Saccharomyces cerevisiae S288C: one gene and its partner. The protein of the gene in region 2 purifies or fractionates together with the protein of the main gene of each other region. This does not show direct contact. Each region holds a gene or a part of one and is shown on either strand. Other genes may lie near its edges.

Region 1 (3,802 bases), on a different chromosome or scaffold from region 2:
TTTTCGCATCTGGAGCAAGGATGAGGGAAATTTTGACTAGCATCGCATTTGATTTTGTGCTGTCTACAATGTGTACATGAGGTAACTGGTCTATGGTTGATTTGATGACTGTCATCATGGTGAGATATTCGTTGTTTCTTACTTGGGAACTGGTGCTGTTGCAACTGTTGCTGCTCCGGTTGTCTTTTCATGTGAGCAGAACTAAAATCTTGGTCTTGGTCAGAATCTCGATTATCCTTCACCATGACGAGAATGCGTATACGCAGAGCCAATATAATCTGTATACGGGACCTTTGACATTAAGGTTTCTGCAGAGAGTTTATTACATGCATTTTCATATATATATTTTTAACGCCATTCCTTTACGGTATGTAAAGAAAAATGATCCAATGAGCGGCCCTTCGTACGAGATGAGATATAATAAGAATGAAAGATAGATAAAAGTTTTAGTTAGAGATACTTCATATACCTGTATATAGTAAAGTCGTTTATTTCAAAGCTTATTTCGACTTGGTGAATCTTAAATAGGGTTTAATTTCATTAAATTGACCAAATTTAGCCTTCGCCTCATCATTGGAGACAGAGGGAGGAATAATGACATCGTCAGCTGGCTGCCAATTAATTGGAGTTACTACGCCCTCCTTGTCAGTCAATTGCAAGGCGTCGATTACCCTTAACACTTCAGAAGTGTTTCTTCCGACGGTGGAAGGGTAGGTAAAAATCAGTCTAATCTTCTTCTTGGGATCGATGACGAAAACAGACCTCACGGTCTTCAGTGACCCATCATTGATATTTTTGAATCCTTCGGCATCTACCATATCATATAGGAATGCCACGTTTCTAAAAGTGTCACCAATTATTGGGAAACCAACATTTTTAACCTTTGCTATTTCCTTGATGTCTTGAATCCATTTTTCGTGGGACTCAACATCTTCCACTGAAAGCCCGATCAATTTAACATTTCTCTTGTCGAATTCCGGCTTCAATTTGGCGAATGCGCTGACTTCGGTGGTGCAGACAGGGGTGAAATCTGCTGGGTGAGAAAACAAGACCCCCCAAGAGTCGCCCAAGTAGTCGTAAAAATTGATTTTACCAACCGTTGTGTCAGCATCAAAGTTAGGAGCATCAGAGTTTATTCTTAGTCTTGGTTGATCACTTTGTTTGAATTGTTTGCACAGAATAGGTGCTGTGGCAAATGTTTTAATCGTCTGTGATTGCAAGTGAGCCTGCTTAGGAAGGGTCCATGCCGTCCTCTTTAATTGAGCGCTACAAATTCTACTAAACATCCTTTGCTTCCTGCTTCTTTGAAATTTATCTCATCCTACTGCGAGAATCTAGAAGCACAATTTTCTATATCTCTCCTTCTCTCTTTATATACCAATAGCAGCAACATCCGGCCCCTTGTTTCTTTACGTAATTAAAAATCTCCGGGGCTAGCTTTTGCCGGGGAACCCATCCCGAAAAAATTGCAAAAAAAAAAATAGCCGCCGACCGTTGGTCGCTATTCACGGAATGATAGAAAAATAGCCGCGCTGCTCGTCCTGGGTGACCTTTTGTATATTGTATAAAGATAAACATAGTGCTATCAGGAATATCTTTATATACACACGCATACTGAATGTGGTTGAAGTTCAAAAAATATCACAAACGTTAAGAAGTTTTACTGGTAAACATATAGACATAGTGGAGCGCTTGCTCGAGGTCAAATGCAGACGGATACGAGAGCGCGGGAGGGAAACCGGAGAAGGTCAATATGCCCATAATTCTTCTTCTTTGAGGTTGGCAATTATATATTGTATCTGAATTAGGCAAATAGAAAAGAGACCTTACCATTAGCGCCATCGTAGAGTCCCATTTCACCTTTTCTTAGTTCTTTATATATGTCTGCGTATGGCCCACATATGCGCGCACAGTGCGCGCCACCCTCTAAGAACGATAAACATAAAATAAACACATAAACAATCAACGACAGTTCGCGCTTCCCTCACTAAATATGGCGAGATAGTTAAACAATCATGGCTCGTTCTTCCTTGCCCAACCGCCGCACCGCCCAGTTCGAAGCGAACAAGAGGAGGACCATTGCACATGCTCCATCTCCAAGTCTTTCAAATGGGATGCACACTCTAACGCCGCCCACCTGTAACAATGGTGCTGCCACTTCAGACTCCAATATACATGTATATGTAAGGTGCAGATCGCGTAATAAGCGAGAAATAGAGGAAAAAAGTAGTGTAGTTATATCTACACTAGGCCCACAAGGGAAAGAAATCATTCTGTCCAACGGTTCTCACCAATCGTATTCGTCCTCGAAGAAAACTTACCAATTTGATCAGGTGTTCGGCGCAGAATCTGACCAGGAAACAGTGTTTAATGCCACTGCAAAAAACTACATTAAGGAAATGTTGCACGGGTACAATTGTACAATATTTGCATACGGTCAAACGGGAACAGGTAAAACCTACACTATGTCTGGCGATATAAATATTCTCGGTGATGTGCAATCTACCGATAATCTATTATTAGGAGAGCATGCAGGTATCATACCACGGGTTCTGGTCGATTTGTTTAAAGAATTGAGCTCCTTAAATAAAGAGTACTCCGTAAAAATATCCTTTTTAGAGTTGTACAATGAAAATTTGAAAGATCTGCTCTCTGATAGTGAGGACGATGATCCTGCAGTCAACGATCCCAAGAGGCAGATTCGTATTTTTGACAATAACAACAATAATTCATCCATCATGGTCAAGGGGATGCAGGAAATCTTTATTAACTCTGCACACGAAGGCTTGAATTTGCTAATGCAGGGTTCGTTAAAAAGGAAAGTGGCCGCTACTAAATGCAACGATCTTTCATCAAGGTCTCACACCGTCTTTACAATCACAACAAACATAGTTGAGCAAGATAGCAAAGACCATGGACAAAACAAAAATTTTGTTAAAATTGGCAAATTGAATTTGGTGGATTTGGCAGGCAGTGAAAACATCAACAGATCGGGTGCGGAGAATAAAAGGGCTCAAGAAGCTGGCCTAATAAACAAATCGCTGCTAACACTAGGCCGTGTTATCAACGCACTCGTTGATCATTCTAACCATATACCTTACAGAGAATCTAAGCTAACAAGATTGCTACAAGACTCTTTAGGTGGTATGACGAAAACATGCATTATCGCAACTATATCACCTGCGAAAATATCCATGGAAGAGACTGCAAGTACGCTAGAATATGCAACGAGAGCCAAATCAATTAAGAATACTCCACAAGTAAATCAGTCTTTATCGAAGGATACATGTCTCAAAGACTACATTCAAGAGATTGAAAAATTAAGAAATGATTTGAAAAATTCAAGAAACAAACAAGGTATATTTATAACTCAAGATCAGTTGGACCTTTACGAGAGCAATTCTATCTTGATTGATGAGCAAAATCTAAAAATACATAACCTGCGAGAACAAATTAAAAAATTCAAAGAAAACTACCTGAACCAATTAGATATCAATAATCTTTTACAGTCTGAAAAGGAAAAACTAATTGCCATAATACAGAATTTTAATGTCGATTTTTCTAACTTTTACTCGGAAATCCAAAAAATTCACCATACTAATCTCGAACTAATGAATGAAGTCATACAACAGAGAGATTTTTCACTAGAAAATTCTCAAAAACAGTATAATACGAACCAGAACATGCAATTAAAAATCTCTCAACAAGTTTTACAGACTTTGAACACTTTACAGGGCTCTTTAAATAATTATAACTCTAAATGTTCCGAAGTTATCAAAGGCGTCACCGAAGAACTAACCAG
Region 2 (6,454 bases):
AGCCGAAGGCACCAGAACCATGAGCATGTGGATTCCTTTGAGGAATATTTTCCCTGTTGAAATGAGCCAAAGAATCAATTAAGTTATAATCTTGCAAAAGCAAAGGGCCATGTTCCCCAATACGTTGGGTGACAAATGGTTCATTGATTGGATTACCAGTGGAGTTTGTCACAACTCTATCCTCTCTTACATCAGAGTAATTTACTTCATTTTTTTCTTGTCCCAATTTCGACATCTTCTAGGGTTCCAAATTTATTTGTAAGTACTATTATATTTATTTAACTTACCTTTTAAATAAACCTACAAGAAATTCAAATGTACGATTTGGACATTACAGTGAAGAATGCTTTCTACATCTCTTTATATGTATGGCGATATCAAAACTGGTTGTTTCTCCAATTCTGTCACTGTGGGGATTTTCGGAGTTTATATTTGTTAAAGCCGTCCTTTTTCGGATTAAGGGACCCCACCAACTTGCGCGGCTAATTCCGGCCAACTTTTTGCATTACTAATTGCGGCTTTAAATAGTGGTTAGAACAACCGCTCACTTCTTCACGCAAGGACGTTTGACAGAGCTTTTTTCTTCCTCTGTCAACTTTCTCTTTAAAATATTAGTTAGCAGCTTTTCATCAGGAATAACCTTGTAATTCTTGTCGATGGTTTCTTCACAAACTTGCAGCGAATCTATTTCGCTTTTCAAAACTCTCCGAGCCATAACATCTCTTAGTTCTTCCCTTGTTAATGAGTTTCCTTTCGAAGGTTTTTCGATAGAAACGCACTTTTTTATGGGGTAATCGGCTAGACGCTTCATAATACAACGTTTCCATGTGGCACTACAGTTTGTAGTGGCGCGGGCACCTTCTATCAATTGTAAACACTTCTTTACAATTCTCTCCACTTGCCTTTCCATTGCTTTTATGTCCAGTTTGCATAAACCTGGAATTTGGCAAAGAATTGTCAAGATTTGGACCAAAAGTATTAGTTGAGGCAACAATTCACCATTATTATAACAATCATATGAATCTAGTACTATTTCTTCACCTTCTAAGAATTCTTGAATATTGGCGTTATTGCGTAAGATATCAATACACCTGTCCAAAAATTCAGTATTCGTCTCAAAAGTCTCTTTTAACGCCTCGACAATATTTTCAAGTAACACTTCTCCAAAATCATACTTCGAACCGTCCCATTCAACATACCCATATCTTCTTAGTAGTTCCGAATTTGGATGTTCTCCGTATATGTTGTACACTTGTTCATTCTTTTCAATATCCCTCAAAGCAACCATCTTTAAACAGTTAGAGTCGTAAGTTAAATTAGCGTTGCATTTACTGGTATCTGCATTCAACATATCAGCAAGTGGAATCATCGATTTCAAGTAGCGCTCATTTTCAAGTTCTTCTTCACTGGTTTCTTCTTCTTCATTTTCATTTACACTACTATCTTGCATTTCCAAATCAAAGGAGTAACTCAATATAATGCTTGCAATATAGGCAAAATTATCAAACTCGAAGGACGTCGCTACACGTGAAAATTCTCCACCAATTTGTTTGATTGATTTAATAATTCTTTCATGCATCTCTTTGGCTTCCTTTTTTCCTATTCTTTCAAGGACAAGTGATGGTTTTAAAAGTTGCAGTTCATTATCATCCCAAAAAATTAACGCGTTCATATCGCTTGGTTTGTTCCAAACTTTAAAGTAAGGCGCCCATCGGCTTCTTTCTTGCAAAACTTCCATCTCATAAAGTATACAGATAATTAAACCTTCCCACGATCCGGTTTCGTTCAGGAACTTATCCTTGAGAGAAGGATAATCCTTTATCAGTTGAGATGTTGTAACGCTTAAAACAGAACTACGAGGTATTTTAAACAATGTTTCATCCTTCTTAATCTTTTGAGTGGCAACTACTGCGCGGCCTTGATTATCACAACAAAGATCTTTGATTTCTATCTTAGGGGATACTTCAATTTCAGCGGTAGTTTTTAACCAGCAAACAAAGTTTTCGGTATCTCTTGAAAAATCATCCATTTTCGCAAACTTTCCCCTTTATTACTAGTCATATTGAAATGATCGTATTAAGCTTTTACAAAGGTAATGAAATTTTTTCATACTCGAGAGAAAAATATGTGACACATGTGTGTATTACCCGCAGTAACTCTCGAAGATTACATTTGAATAATATCAATACTTCCAGACCAATAGCTTTATTGTATTGCCAGGGCACTTGGTACATGTAACATTCATCCAGTTTATTTGATACCAAAAATCTTTTATTTTAATTCTTCTATTTACAAAAGAGAAATGTGTATGTTTATATATGTATTTTCTTGGGAATTTATTATTCATAAACCGCTTGTGCAGTTACTTTTCAGCTTCCTCTTCAACAACTTCGCCTTCTTCATGATTTGGTAGCACGACAAGCTTAGTATCTTTAACCACCACTCTAACAGTTTCGCCGTTTCTAATTTGACCTTTTAATAAGAAAGTTGCCATGGAGTTCAAAATCTGTCTATGAATTAATCTATTCAATGGCCTTGCACCATATAATTGATCGTAGCCTTTGTCAGTTAGCCAATCCTTCGCTTCATCAGTTAAATCAATTTTCATTCTTTTTTCGGCCAAACGATCTTGAATTTCTGCAATTCTAATATCAACAATTGACCTCAAAACTTTCTTGGATAGCCTATTGAAAACTAGAATATCATCAATACGATTGATGAACTCAGGTGGATAGGATCTTTTCATTGCTTCGATAACTTTATTCTTGGTTGCGGTGTCAATCTTACCATCATCACCCAACTTTGTGTCGTTTAATAAAATATCTTGTCCAATGTTTGAGGTCATCACAATGATCGTGTTACGGAAATCAACATGATGGCCTAGGGAATCGGTCAGCTTACCTTCATCCAACACTTGCAACAGTAGTTTGGAAACATCGGGGTGCGCTTTTTCAAATTCATCAAATAAAACGACAGCATAAGGCTTTCTTCTGACAGCCTCAGTTAATTGGCCACCAGATTCGCTTAAGACGTAACCTGGAGGTGCACCGATTAAACGAGAGACAGTATGCTTCTCTTGAAATTCTGACATGTCAAAACGAATCACATTTGATTCGTCATCAAATAGGAATTCAGCTAAAGCCTTGGTCAATTCTGTTTTACCAGTACCAGTAGGACCTAAGAACATAAAGCTGGCAATAGGTCTCTTTTCACTGGTCAAACCAGCCCTTTGAAGACGTACAGCATCAGAAATAGCAGCAATGGCCTCGTCTTGGCCAACGACTCTTTCTTTTAAAGAATTTTCCATATACAGTAGGCGGTCCTTGTCGCCTTTCATCACCGTTTCTGTAGGAATACCAGTCATTTTGGCAACAACCTTAGAAATATCGTCAGAAGTAACTGAATCATGAAGTAAATTTACTTTATCTCCGTCCTTACTCTTCTCGCTTAAAGCTACCTTCTTCTCCAAGTCAGGAATTCTGGAATATCGCAACTCGGATGCTTTAGTGTAATCACCCTCTCTCTGACACTTTTCCAACTCAATTCTTGCTTGTTCCAAATTTGCCTTAGCATTTTTGATAGATTCAATTTCAGCTCTTTCAGCGTCCCATATTTTTGTTAATCTGTTTAATTCATCATTTTTCATTTCTAGGTCCTTTTCCAACGCTTCTCTTCTTTCCACGGAAACAGGGTCGGTCTCTTTCTTTAAAGATTCCAGTTCTATTTGTATTTTCATAATAGCACGATCCAGTTTCTGTATTTCATCCGGTTTGGATTCATGTTGTAAACGTAGTACAGCACAAGCTTCGTCAACTAGATCAATGGCTTTATCAGGTAGAAACCTGTCTGTTATATAACGATTTGAAAGAACTGCAGCAGACACTAAAGCTGTATCAGTGATCCTTACACCATGATGAACCTCGTACCTTTCTTTTAAACCTCTTAGTATAGAAATCGTATCGGAGACGCTCGGCTCATTCAATAAGATAGGCTGAAACCTTCTCGATAAAGCCGGATCTTTTTCAATGATTTTGAATTCATCAAGAGTGGTTGCAGAGATACAACGTAGCCCACGGGCCAGTTTTGGCTTTAAGATGTTAGAAGCATCCATACTACCATCAGTTTTACCTAAGCCAAGCAGCATATGAACTTCATCAATGAAAACAATAACCTTACCATTGGCCTTGTCAATTTCTTCTAAAACCTTTTTTAAACGTTCTTCGAATTCACCTCTATATTTGGCGCCAGCAATCAAAGATCCCAAATCCAAAGCTACTAGATCTTTATCTTTCAACGAGTCAGGGACCTCCCCAGCAACAATTCTTTGAGCTAACCCATCAATAAGGGCGGTTTTACCGACACCAGCTCGACCGATCAAACATGGATTATTTTTTGTTCTTCTTGATAAAATTTGAATAGCTCTTGCGATTTCTTCGTCTCTGCCAATGACAGGGTCTAATTTACCGTCGCGCGCTAATTTTGTCAAGTTTGTACCAAATTGTTCTAAAGCTGGCTTTTCCGGTTGCTGATTGGGATCCATCCTCATTTGGACGTACGTTCTTTTGAAATTGGGCAATCCATATGAGCTCTTGAGGGCGCAGGTTGAAATAGCGACTTCATTTAATGCATTTGTTTTTATATCTGATAGAAGTTTATTGGCTACTCGAGGTCTTGCATTAAAACTGCAAATAGATCTTTTACACTGTACAATAGTGTATATTCGTGGAGTACTTCGCCTTAATAGTTGCGTTCTCTGTAAATATTTTTGTATTGGTGCTTTTGTAGCTTGTCTTAACATATTTAACCTTGAAAGATTTTCACTCGCTTGTTTCAGGGTTCCTGGAATAGATAATAGAAGTCAAACTTTTCATGCTTACATATGCATATATATGTATATATATGTGTGTGCGTGAGTCAGTAACTAGGGGGTTTGATGAGCTTAGATACAATGAATCACAGGGGTTTATTCAAAAAAAAAAGTCCGTGCACCCCCTATTCAAACGCGATGCCATTAGATGAAAGAACACTTCTAGAACATTCTGGAAAATAACAAATTTTATCAGAACAGAATCACACCTTGATTTGTCTGTTACATTAATTATTAAAATTTATATGACCTATAAGGCCAAAGCAAAAAGTTGATCTTCCAGTACTAGAGATCAATATCTGCTCCCTATTTATTGTATTACGTGGCACTATCCGAGTGTCTCCCTACTATTTCCTCCAGGGATCTTATTTTTTTTTTTAGTTGCTCTATTTCATCTCGTTGTTCTTGTTCCTTTCTTTTAGTATTTTCAATATCCTCGATCATTCGTATATATTCAGCGTGGAAGCGTTTATTCTCAAGTTTTAGGTTTTCATTTTCATTTCTTGACATGTTGTGTTCATTTTTTATTATACTATTCTCATTCTTCAACATGTTGTTTTCGTTACATAAGACATCATACTCACTTCTTAACATAGTAATTGCATTCCTTATAGCTTCATGCTGAGCTATTAAAATGTTGTTGTCATTTCTTAATGAATCGTTTAATGATTTGAAGTTATTATTTTCTGCTAGTAAATCGTCAAATATCTTTGATTTTTGTTCGAGATTCTTGATGTATTTTTCTTTCCTTTGTCTAAATGCCTTTTGAGCGGTTCTATTTTGAGCAGCTCTTCTAGTATTTCTTAAAGTTTTGCCTGAACTACTTATGAGTTGGGTGTCTTTATCAGGAACAGGTTTGGTTACATTATCATTATTATCATTATTATCAGCTGAATTTTTAGCGGTATCAGCACTGTTTTGAAAAGAAGGAGGTGCAGTAGTAACACTGGTATTGCGAGATGGGAGGGTTGATAGTTGCTCCTCTGCAATATACTCCTTATTCAAAGATATGCTCTGGTTCGGAAGTCCATTTGGTAAAGGGGGATTTATTTGATAAGGTGCATAAGATATGGAATAACTTTTAGGGGGGAATACCACGGAAGGTTGAATACTAACATGAGCATTTTGAGGTCTGTTGTAAGAAGCTGATTGTTTTCTTTCATTTGAATGCGGAGGGATGATATAAGATGGATGTATAGGACTTTGATGCATCGATCTATAGTCAGACGGACCAGATAGATGCATCAAGTTTGGCAAAGGAGGCTGGATAGGATTGCTGTTAACAGATATGTCGGTGTCCCCATTAGTGGTTGTAGGATTTATTCTATAAGGTAACTTTTGGGACGTGCTGGGCTGTGCAATTTGCGGAGAAGGATGCTCATTTAGATTCTTCTCAGAGGCATTATAAGTAGCCATTGAGCTGCTTCCCTGATTATACATATCGGGACGAATCAACGGAGGGTTTTGCATTTGTCCCTTAGCACTCTTCGTTATTCTGTTGTTTATTGAAATTTCTAGACAAAAGTATATGCTATCGGATTCACGATTGGTGGGGAAAAAAACTCGGTGTTACAGTTTGAGGAAAGA

What was found. Proteins that work in one complex are often made in the same cells at the same time.
Region 1: the proteins of HSP78 (region 2) and PRX1 purify together in Saccharomyces cerevisiae (affinity purification with mass spectrometry; 3 studies listed by BioGRID, with this or other methods). This does not show direct contact.

Annotation. Positions count from the first base shown.
Region 1 is NC_001134.8:99,871-103,672, forward strand, and holds PRX1 (thioredoxin peroxidase PRX1), read right to left. Parts: upstream 1,287-3,802; coding exon 501-1,286; downstream 1-500. Other genes in the region: SEF1 (Sef1p), read right to left, coding at 1-245; KIP1 (Kip1p), read left to right, coding at 2,016-3,802. UniProt on the Saccharomyces cerevisiae protein: Thiol-specific peroxidase that catalyzes the reduction of hydrogen peroxide and organic hydroperoxides to water and alcohols, respectively.
Region 2 is NC_001136.10:969,446-975,899, forward strand, and holds HSP78 (chaperone ATPase HSP78), read right to left. Parts: upstream 4,799-6,454; coding exon 2,363-4,798; downstream 1-2,362. Other genes in the region: CTA1 (catalase A), read right to left, coding at 1-235; RKM4 (ribosomal lysine N-methyltransferase), read right to left, coding at 545-2,029; YAP6 (Yap6p), read right to left, coding at 5,186-6,337. UniProt on the Saccharomyces cerevisiae protein: Required, in concert with mitochondrial Hsp70 (SSC1), for the dissociation, resolubilization and refolding of aggregates of damaged proteins in the mitochondrial matrix after heat stress.